Linked DNA regions of Arabidopsis thaliana. The protein of the gene in region 1 interacts with the protein of each later gene in a pairwise test. Each region holds a gene or a part of one and is shown in the gene's direction. Other genes may lie near its edges.

Region 1 (4,217 bases):
GATTACTTGCACCACTATCGAGGTACCACTTATGATTCTCTTCTTGTTCATCTTTCTTGTAGCTAGCCATTAATAACATGTCTTCTTCTTGAATTTTTTCTTCAACGTAGTTGGCCTTCTCCTCAAATTTTTTGTTGCTAGGAGCTTTACATTCAGAAGCCTAATGTCCAAACTTCCCACAATTGTAGCATTTGACACTTGATTTATCGTATCTTGATTTTGGGTGTCCTTTCCCACGACCTCTTGATGAGTTTTCACCTCTTTGGTTTGTGTTGTCTTCATGTGGCCTCCAACCACGTCCATTTCCATATCCACCACGACCTCGTCCTCGTACTTCACCACCACCTCTTCTTTGGTAACTTTGGCCGTTTTCTTCTTTTGTAATTCGCATATTGAGGACTTGTTCGACGATATCTTCTTTCTTCTTCTTCTTTTCTTCATAAGCTTGTAATGACCCAAGAAGTTGCTCTATTGTCATAGCTTCTAAATCTTTTGTTTCTTCAATGACGGTGACAATATGCTCAAATTTTAGATCCAATGATCTAAGAACTTTCTCCATGATTCTCACATCATCTAGCTTCTCTCCGTTTCTTTTAAGGTTATTAGTAACCGTCAACACTCTTGAGAAGTAGTCGGAGACGAGTTCACCTTCCTTCATTTGTAGTGCTTCAAATTCTCCTCTTAGAGTTTGAAGACGTACTTTCTTGACTTGATCGACACCTTTGTAAGAGGTTCGAAGCTTCTCCCATGCTTCTTTCGCCGACGTAGCTTCAACGACCTTCTCGAACGTATCTTCATCTAATCCTTGATAGATTAGACAGAGAGCTTTCTTGTCTCTCTTTCTTGAGTCTCTCAAACCATCCTTTTGAGTTTGAGAAAGACTACCTTCATTCTCCGGTTCAATGAAACCTTTCTCGACTATCTCCCACACGTCATGTGCTCCTAGGATAGCCTTCATTTGTAGACTCCAATTATCATAGTTGCTCTTTGTGAGCACCGGGACTTGGAAGGGAACATTGTTACTCGCCATCTTTAGGATCTTCAAGTTCTGCTACCACTTTGTTAGAGTAAAATTATTTTAGAGGTAATGGAGAAAGTGTTTAAGTGTTTTGAGAGAGTTTTTTTGGAAATAGAACTTTAATTACTTTGCTTTAAACTTGAAGACAACTTCACAACATTGCAACATTTGAGAGGAGGAGGAGGTATTTATAGCCTCCAAACTACAAAATATCTAAAATATTTTAATCGTAAGTCTAGAGAGTTCTTATATAAGATCTAGATTACATTATTCAAATTATCTAGATTATTCTATTAGAGTATCTAGATTTTTATGTTTAAGGAGGTGGAAGATGATTCTACAAAATTTCTAGAATCTTTTAAGGAGGTGGAAATGATGATATTTCTAGAGAAAATTCTAAAACTTGAATTTGGCCATAATTAATTATTGGATAATTGATCCAATAATTAAACTTGATTCAAAATCAAGTTTAACTTTCAACACAGTCATCAAGACTCACGTCCCGTTAGAAAACGTACGATTACTATAACCAATTAACCATGGTCCACGGTCAAACTTTAACCGTGGTTAATTTAAATAAAAGAAACATTTTATGCTTATAAACTCCAAAAACCCTTATTATATAGATTTTCTCTCCCGAATCTGTTTTCATTTTCACAATCTTCGTCTCAAAATCTTGTTTTTCTTTTCTCCTGCAAGAATCTCTCGCCATGGAAGGAGTTGTTGAGCCACGTGAAGAGAATCGTGACAGGGACGTGAAGAGCTTCGTAGATTGAACGGTCGTTTTGTCGTCGCAGTGTTGCTTGAACTGTCCACAAGAGTCTGCAAAAGAGCAGCTGCTGGCTCAGATCCAAACCCGACGATGACCGGACACGTGGCGTATTCTTGGGCGATGGAGTTCAACTTGTGGGCGCATCTTGCTTTTATGCTTGTGATTCTCAAGATCATTGTTGCTCCGATGGTGGTGGAACTGGAACAGATGAGAAAAGTACGAGAAGAGTGTGACGTGCAGCTGCTCGTGGGTTTGATTTTTGTCGTCCTCACGATTGCTTTCTTAGCGTACCTTCGCTGCTCCGTCACCGGGTGAGTGGTGTGTCTTGAGTTTCTTCCACCGTTACTATGGACCTGTGTCTTTTAGTGAGACCATCGACGATGCTTACATTTATCATCTCTCTTTCTATCTACAATCTAGTTTTCGTTTTTTTCTTTCTTTGATGGGTTTGTTGTTTTGAACATTATGGTTTCTTTGATTAGAGGTTTGAATATTTGGACCTGTGATCGTTCAGTGAGACCATCGCGGATGCTCTGTATCTGCTTTTCGTTTATTTCTTTGGATTTGTGTTGTGAACATTTTGGTTTCTTGAATAAAAGGTTTAAACAAGATTTTCTGAATATTAATTGATATTGTAGTTACAACTTGCAATATTTATCACTTCATACTGTATTTGCATAGATAAAAATGCGTTAAAGTTTCGGATCGCATCCCTGAATACAATAATTAGTTTTACAAAGAAATCGATGTGTGTGTGAACCGTTTATGATATCGGATTAAGACTAATTACTTCATGTTCTTGATGATAGTTTCAAATTTTAGCTCAAAATGTTTAAGGAATTAGCTGCAAAATGCAGTCATGAACTGTTTTTTTATCAATTAAATTTACATAAGATCAATCCATTGTTCAACGTGTCGTAATCAGGCAACTGCTTTAACTTTTGTTTACCCAAAGTAGTAACATTTTAGAAAAACCGATGAATAAAACTTAGTAAAAAAGACCATATTTAACCCTTAACATTTTTTTTTGTTCAAAATTTCACAATTATCTAACAATATAAAATATTTCTAGTCTTTTTATAGGTAGTTATATGATCAAATACTAAACCATGCAGATATTTTTGGTCCCAATTCTGTGTAACCAAAATTGTCAATTTCCGGTTCAGCAACGAACGAAATTTTGTAACCAGTAATTCAAGAAACCAATTTTTAACAGTGACCAAAAGAGGTAAGTCCTTCGTCCACTCAATATCATCAGTCATCACCTCTCTCCTTGAAACTTTTTCAACACGTACGGATTATAAACCATGGTTAGAGAAAAAGCAAGGTTAAAAAATAAACTATGGTCCATGGTTAAAATTTTAACCATGGTTAGGTTATAAACCCTTCTTCTTTCCCTCTTTAACAAACTCCAAAACCTCTCAGAGACAAATTTTCTCACTTTTTCCCGGATTCTGATTTTTTCATCAATCATCGTTTCAAAATCTCCATTTTCTCCTGCAAGACTACGAGATCGCAATGGATGACGAAGATGGAGGTCGTGAGAGAAGAGAAGAAACTCGTCGTGTAAACGATCGTTTCTTTCTTGCAGTTTCGCTCGCCATTTTCACCGGAATCTGCAAACGAGCTTCTGGTTTCGACGGTTCATATCTAACGGAGACGACGAAGAACGGACACGTGGCGTTATACTGTGCATCAGAGCTGAACAAGATGGCCGATATGTGCTTTATGGTGGTGATTATCAGAATCGGTTTATCGATGCTTGGACTCACGTTTGCGCCGGTGGTGATGCGTAGACTACGAGAAGAGACGGACATGAAACTTACGTTGGGTTCTATCTGCCTAGCGATTTCGCTCTGCTTCTCCGCTTATCTTCGGTTCTTCGTCGTCGGATGAGTTTGTGTTCGCCGGAATCTTCCCTGTTAGAGTAAAATTCTTTTAGAGGTAATGGAGAAAGTGTTTAAGTGTTTTGAGAGAGTTTTTTAGGAAATATAACTTTTATTACTTTGCTTTAAACTTGAAGATAACTTCACAACATTGCAACATTTGAGAGGGGGAGGAGGTATTTATAGCCTCCAAACTACAAAATATCTAAAATATTTTAATCCTAAGTCTAGAGAGTTCTTACATAAGATTTAGATTACATTATTCAAATTATCTAGATTATTCTATTAGAGTATCTAGATTTTTATGTTTAAGGAGGTGGAAGATGATTCTAGAAAATTTCTAGAATCTTTTAAGGAGGTGGAAATGATGATATTTCTAGAGAAAACTCTAGAACTTGGATTTGGCCATAATTAATTATTGGATAATTGATCCAATAATTAAACTTATTCAAAATCAAGTTTAACTTTCAACATTCCCTCTGCTTTCGACTTGGAACGCCGTCGTTTTAGTGAGATTCATCGTTTATCGTTATAATAATCT
Region 2 (5,987 bases), on another chromosome or scaffold:
GTTGCAGCTATTACTGATAAAACGTAGCTACTTTTTTGGTTGGGTTTATTTGAGCCAAATAACTTCATTAAAAGCTGTAGTACCAAGTTTGGGTCTATCATTTACACTGCTATTGTCTTTGCTATATGACTCGAATCTGATACATTCGATTTCTAAAGATTATATCTAATTTTTAAGCGAATTAAACTTTTGCAAGCTTGGTTTTGATCTCTACTATTCTATTGACTAGAGAAGATGTCATAGTTGGGTGTAGAATAAGGTATTGAACTGACTTGCTTTTATTGATTCATTAACTATGGTATTTATACACAATGATCTCTATCAAGAGATAAACATAAATCCCTAAAATATAGGTTAGAAACTCTATCATCAAAGATATTGTACTAATCCTAATCGGATTACACATATCTCCAATAGAGTTGATATCTATTAACGGCAAAAGGAGCTAAGCTGCCATGATGACCCATGAAGTATATGCCTGCATGCTAATACGCAGAAAAACATTGAATGTGAAAGTGGCAATTATTCGAACACTCAAATTTTTTTATCTTCCTAAAATCGTGCTCGTGAAGATTTTTCAAAACAACCGATATAACCATTGGTGTTTAGTTGTTTACCTTTCTTTTTATTGCATACGATAGCCCATTCTTAGGAATTAAACCATGGGGGCAACTGGCAAGCATTTATAATCATTGATGTTACTTTAATTTTCATTTAATATGAATATTAAACGTAGTAGCTATATCATTGGGTTGGAATTAATGACTGAGAAAGAATGAATGAAAGAGAGAAACGTGTACTCGCAGTAGACCATATAACCATTGGTGAACAATTTTATTTGGAATCGTATCCATAAATATCATTTTTATACTAGTACGCTTGCTTTTACGACTACTATACCTTGTGTGGGCGGACCAACAATTTAAGAAGGGGGTGTGGGTGTAACTGGCCCGGTAAACCATAATTTTGTTTTGGCCATGTACAAAATGAGTTTTTGGCATACGGTGTTTTGTTGTATTTGAAGATCCCACTCAATATCATTTTTTTTTCCCCAATTTGATTAATCATTTGCTTTCTTGAAAGATTATTTTCCTTATAAGGATAAGAATAAACAGTTTCCTTTTTCATGGAACAAATTTTTCATGTTTCAAAGATATTTTCATTTTGTCTGAAGTATCAAAACAGTTTTACATTATTATTTGTCTTTTTCTGTTCAAAAAATTTAAGCAAATTAGTATATAATAAATAAACAGATTTGTGTATAGTATTGAAACCTATATCCATGAGCAAATGTGTGGTATATAAATTAGATAACAATTCTTTTTTGACATCATATAAATTAAATAACATTGAATTTGAAATTAATCACATTTTTAAAATGTGATTGTACGTTATTTATTCTTTAAAATTATGAATACTAATTAACCAATATATGTCATCGAAATAACTCAAAATATTGTAAAGAAAACTATTTGCATTTTACATATAGATATCTTGTAAAGTTAATTACGATATCCATAGAAATGTTATACAATCTTTGACTAAAAACGAAAGAAAGAATTCTAATAATTAATAACCTTTGGTGTTTTTAATGAGAGACGTGGACTCTCTCGGTAGAAATAATACAATGATTAACATACAAATTTGTAACTATCATTAGCCGTCACTCGCCACCCTCGATAGGACCTATATACACTTATACACAACACTAGCCACACACATCCTCAAGCGATAACACCACAAACAAAACAACAAACCAAAAAAAAAAAAAAGAGAGAGAGAGAGAGCAAATCTCCATCATCATCATGGACTCGTCTCCAAACGACGGCGTACACCAACCGCTTCTCCATCCTCAACCATCTCCATCTCCGCCGGAGTCAACCAACGGCGAGCTAGAAACTGTCCTCTCCGACGTAGAAACTCCTCTGTTTCTCCGCCTACGTAAAGCCACCATAATCGAATCAAAGCTTCTCTTTAACCTCGCTGCACCAGCCGTCATCGTCTACATGATTAACTACCTCATGTCCATGTCTACTCAAATCTTCTCCGGCCATCTCGGTAACCTCGAACTCGCCGCCGCTTCTCTTGGTAACACCGGTATTCAAGTCTTCGCTTACGGTCTCATGGTAACAACCAAAAACTCCTCTTCTTGTATATATTTTTTGTATGAATGTTACGTTTTATATCATTTTCGTCTATATGCTATGTTTTTTTTCACATCTTTAAAATTCGAGTTTTTTTCGATGATAGCTAGGCATGGGGAGTGCAGTGGAGACGTTATGTGGTCAAGCGTACGGTGGTAGAAAATACGAGATGCTTGGAGTTTATCTCCAAAGATCAACCGTATTACTAACACTCACCGGCCTCCTCCTTACTTTAATCTACGTTTTCTCCGAACCAATCCTTCTCTTCCTCGGTGAATCTCCCGCAATCGCTTCGGCCGCATCGCTCTTCGTCTACGGTCTTATCCCTCAAATCTTTGCCTACGCAGCGAACTTTCCAATACAAAAATTTCTCCAATCACAAAGCATAGTAGCTCCAAGTGCTTATATCTCAACGGCTACGCTCTTTGTTCACCTTCTTTTAAGTTGGCTCGCGGTTTACAAGCTTGGTATGGGACTTCTTGGTGCGTCGCTTGTGCTTAGCTTGTCGTGGTGGATTATAGTCGTGGCTCAGTTTGTTTATATTGTGACGAGTGAGAGGTGTCGTGAGACGTGGAGAGGTTTTAGTGTTCAAGCTTTCTCGGGTTTGTGGAGTTTCTTTAAACTCTCCGCCGCTTCTGCCGTGATGCTTTGCCTTGAGACTTGGTATTTTCAGATTCTCGTTCTTCTTGCCGGACTTCTCGAGAATCCTGAACTTGCTCTTGATTCACTCTCTATTTGGTAAGTCCTATTTTTAGTCAAACTCAATTTAATTATTTCCTTTAAAATTTATTTTTACTAGTTAATTTCGTTTACTAAATTAATTTCACCTATTGACCATAAAAAATAATAATTTAAGTTTATCTATTCTAGTGTTTTTGCCTCTTTGGTTTCCATTTTACCTATTCTAGTCTAATTTGTCTTCCACATGATATTTTATTTATGTTTTATCATAGGTAGTAGTTATTGGTTTCTACAAGAAAACACTTTTTTATATATCCTGAAACTCCACGTGAATATGTATGATTATAGACTTTTCCATGAATTTTTCTAGTAATGATTCGACAAAACTTTTAGTATTATTATTATTCGATATGAAAAGCATAGAACAAAACTTTTTGTAGGGAGTACAAAGCAAAGTTTGGTTGTAGATACTAGATATGAAAGTTAAGTTAATGGCGAACAAATTTGACACTTCTTCCGCTACAGACAATCTATGGTCACATCACATTTCTTCTTTTCAGTCTTCTCGTTTTGGTTTTCTTTGGAATTTGTTTTTGTCTTCTTCTTAAGCAGTAGAATTTAACTTTAACAATTTCTGTATGACCATATGAAACTATCTCATATGGAATCGAATAAAACATTATTTCTTCGTCCAATCTGCATCTACTTCTTTATTTTGTCGAAGATATTATACAATATTCTTCTAGTACTAATTAGTTTAAGATTTATCTGAGTCGTAAGTACTAGATTTTTTAGGTTTTCCAAAAGTTCTCTTTCCTCTGTTACCAAACAGAAGCAGCCACCAAATTTAGGTAGTTGCCCCAAATCAGTATGGAATTCCCATCTTTATAATATGATATCTTTGATTTTCATGTCAAGTCAAAAGTTACAATTTTAAAATGTTGTAAAAACATTACAAGCAACAATGGTTTCATACTAGCTTTTGATAGTGTACGATATTAAATTATTTGTTTTTGTGTTACAGCATGACGATTTCAGGGTGGGTGTTCATGATATCTGTTGGATTCAATGCAGCGATAAGGTCTGTTTTGTCCCAACTCACCACTTGCATGATCGTTTTCACTAAATTTAAATCATATAAAATAGAAAACGTCTCTATCCAATTTACCTACCCCCATAAAAATATGTGGATTCTTACATTTTACACACTTAAATAATGCTAAATCATACTGAACCATAAGCTCTTTTTCTCCTATTAAATCTGATGAAGTGTGACAAAAATTGTGTTATGATGTTGATACAGTGTAAGAGTGAGCAATGAACTTGGAGCTGGGAACCCTAAATCAGCAGCTTTTTCTGTGATCATCGTTAACATTTATTCGTTAATCACTTGTGTGATCCTAGCCATTGTTATTTTAGCGTGCCGCGATGTTTTAAGCTATGCTTTCACTGAGGGTAAAGAAGTCTCGGACGCTGTTTCTGATCTCTGTCCGCTTCTTGCCGTAACACTTGTCCTTAACGGAATCCAACCTGTCCTCTCTGGTAAACCCTTCTGATCGATACACCGCAATTTCGCAAACCGAATAAGCGAAGATTTTTTTTTTTTTTTTGAACAATTGGGAAAATTTTATTATAGGTGTGGCGGTTGGATGCGGTTGGCAAACGTTTGTGGCGAAGGTTAACGTTGGATGTTACTACATTATTGGAATTCCTCTTGGGGCTCTCTTTGGGTTTTACTTTAACTTCGGTGCCAAGGCAAGATAGTTTTCTTAACTTTCATTTTAATTAGTTACCATTATTCTTGTATTGAATATTAGAATAACAAATTTAAGGCTAATGATGCTATAGGGTATATGGACGGGGATGATCGGTGGTACGGTTATACAAACGTTTATTTTGGCGTGGGTCACGTTTAGAACAGATTGGACAAAAGAAGTAAGTTTGCTAAACTTTAAGCTGCCCTGTAGGCGCTAAGTGTTTACGTAAATATTTTCATTGATTTGATAGTTATTTTAATTTGTTTCAGGTGGAAGAAGCTTCCAAAAGGTTGGACAAATGGAGCAACAAGAAACAAGAAGTTGTTCCTGAATGATGCAGGTTGATGAAAGTTTGGTATCCAAGGAACCGATTAGATTCATCGGTAAACCGATGCAAATGCTCAAAGTAACATGTGAGCTGGTAAAAAAGGATATGGATCAACCTTTTAAACTTCTACAACTCAATTTTAAGTTTTTTGTGTTCTTGTTTAAAATGTTAGAGGTAGGTTATGTATTTTTGTATGCCAAGATTATAATAGTTACTGCGTTATTTTTTATTGATTTATATATATATGCATGTCTTTGATTGGATAGATCTTAGTTATTTTTGTTACTGAGTTTTTCTTTAGTTTAATGATATTTTGTTAGACTGGAATGCAATTAAAGTTTCTCTCTTTCAGTATGATGCATTTTTGTTGTTGTTGAGAATGTGAAGGAAAATAAGAACTGGACTTCCAACAAAATGGGCAGGGTGATCTATGGGCCTAATATATGGGCCTAAGTAAACTGAAATTACTATACATAAAACAAAGTTTTCACATCATAAAATCAGTCCAGCTCATTTGCGTTGAGGACTTGAGGCACAGAGAAAATTTGGAGTTTTTTTTTGTCAAAGGAGAAATTTTGGAGTTGATGATTCGATATCTGACATAGTTATAAATGTGTATTATCTTGCTCTAACTTTGCTTTAGTTAGTGGCAAAATTTTGATGTAAACAAAAGTAAAATAATCGCCTACTTAACGCATCTATGACATTTTAATATAAGCACTATTTTCATTCGTGTTTAATAAAAAATAACGAAAACGATTGTAAGAACTTCTAAATATTCTTATAAACTACTAGACGAGATGTTATATTTGTTCCATAAAGTTAGAGAAAGGAGCGATTAAATTTCCGTTACACTTGATGTAAACACGTTTTTTCGAATAAATTTTACATTTTATTCAAAAAAAAGAAAAAAAAAAAAGTAAAGAAGAAAAATTCTTGATACTTTTTCTTTTCATTATTCTCATTATAAACCATACAACGAAAAAGGATATAAATAGTAAATACTTGGCCAAGCCAATAATGGCCGTCACGTTGTATCTGTGCCATTTTCTGTCTACACATTTAAGTCTTATTTAT

The links. The genes of interacting proteins can lie anywhere in the genome.
Region 2: the proteins of AT1G21940 (region 1) and AT3G21690 interact in a protein complementation assay, tested with the Arabidopsis thaliana proteins (one large-scale study listed by BioGRID).

Annotation. Positions count from the first base shown.
Region 1 is NC_003070.9:7,714,639-7,718,855, reverse strand, and holds AT1G21940 (uncharacterized protein), read left to right. Parts: upstream 1-1,880; coding exon 1,881-2,040; intron 2,041-3,294; coding exon 3,295-3,686; downstream 3,687-4,217.
Region 2 is NC_003074.8:7,636,945-7,642,931, forward strand, and holds AT3G21690 (MATE efflux family protein), read left to right. Parts: upstream 1-1,639; 5' UTR 1,640-1,805; coding exon 1,806-2,126; intron 2,127-2,250; coding exon 2,251-2,882; intron 2,883-3,849; coding exon 3,850-3,906; intron 3,907-4,128; coding exon 4,129-4,367; intron 4,368-4,461; coding exon 4,462-4,580; intron 4,581-4,673; coding exon 4,674-4,760; intron 4,761-4,851; coding exon 4,852-4,917; 3' UTR 4,918-5,445; downstream 5,446-5,987.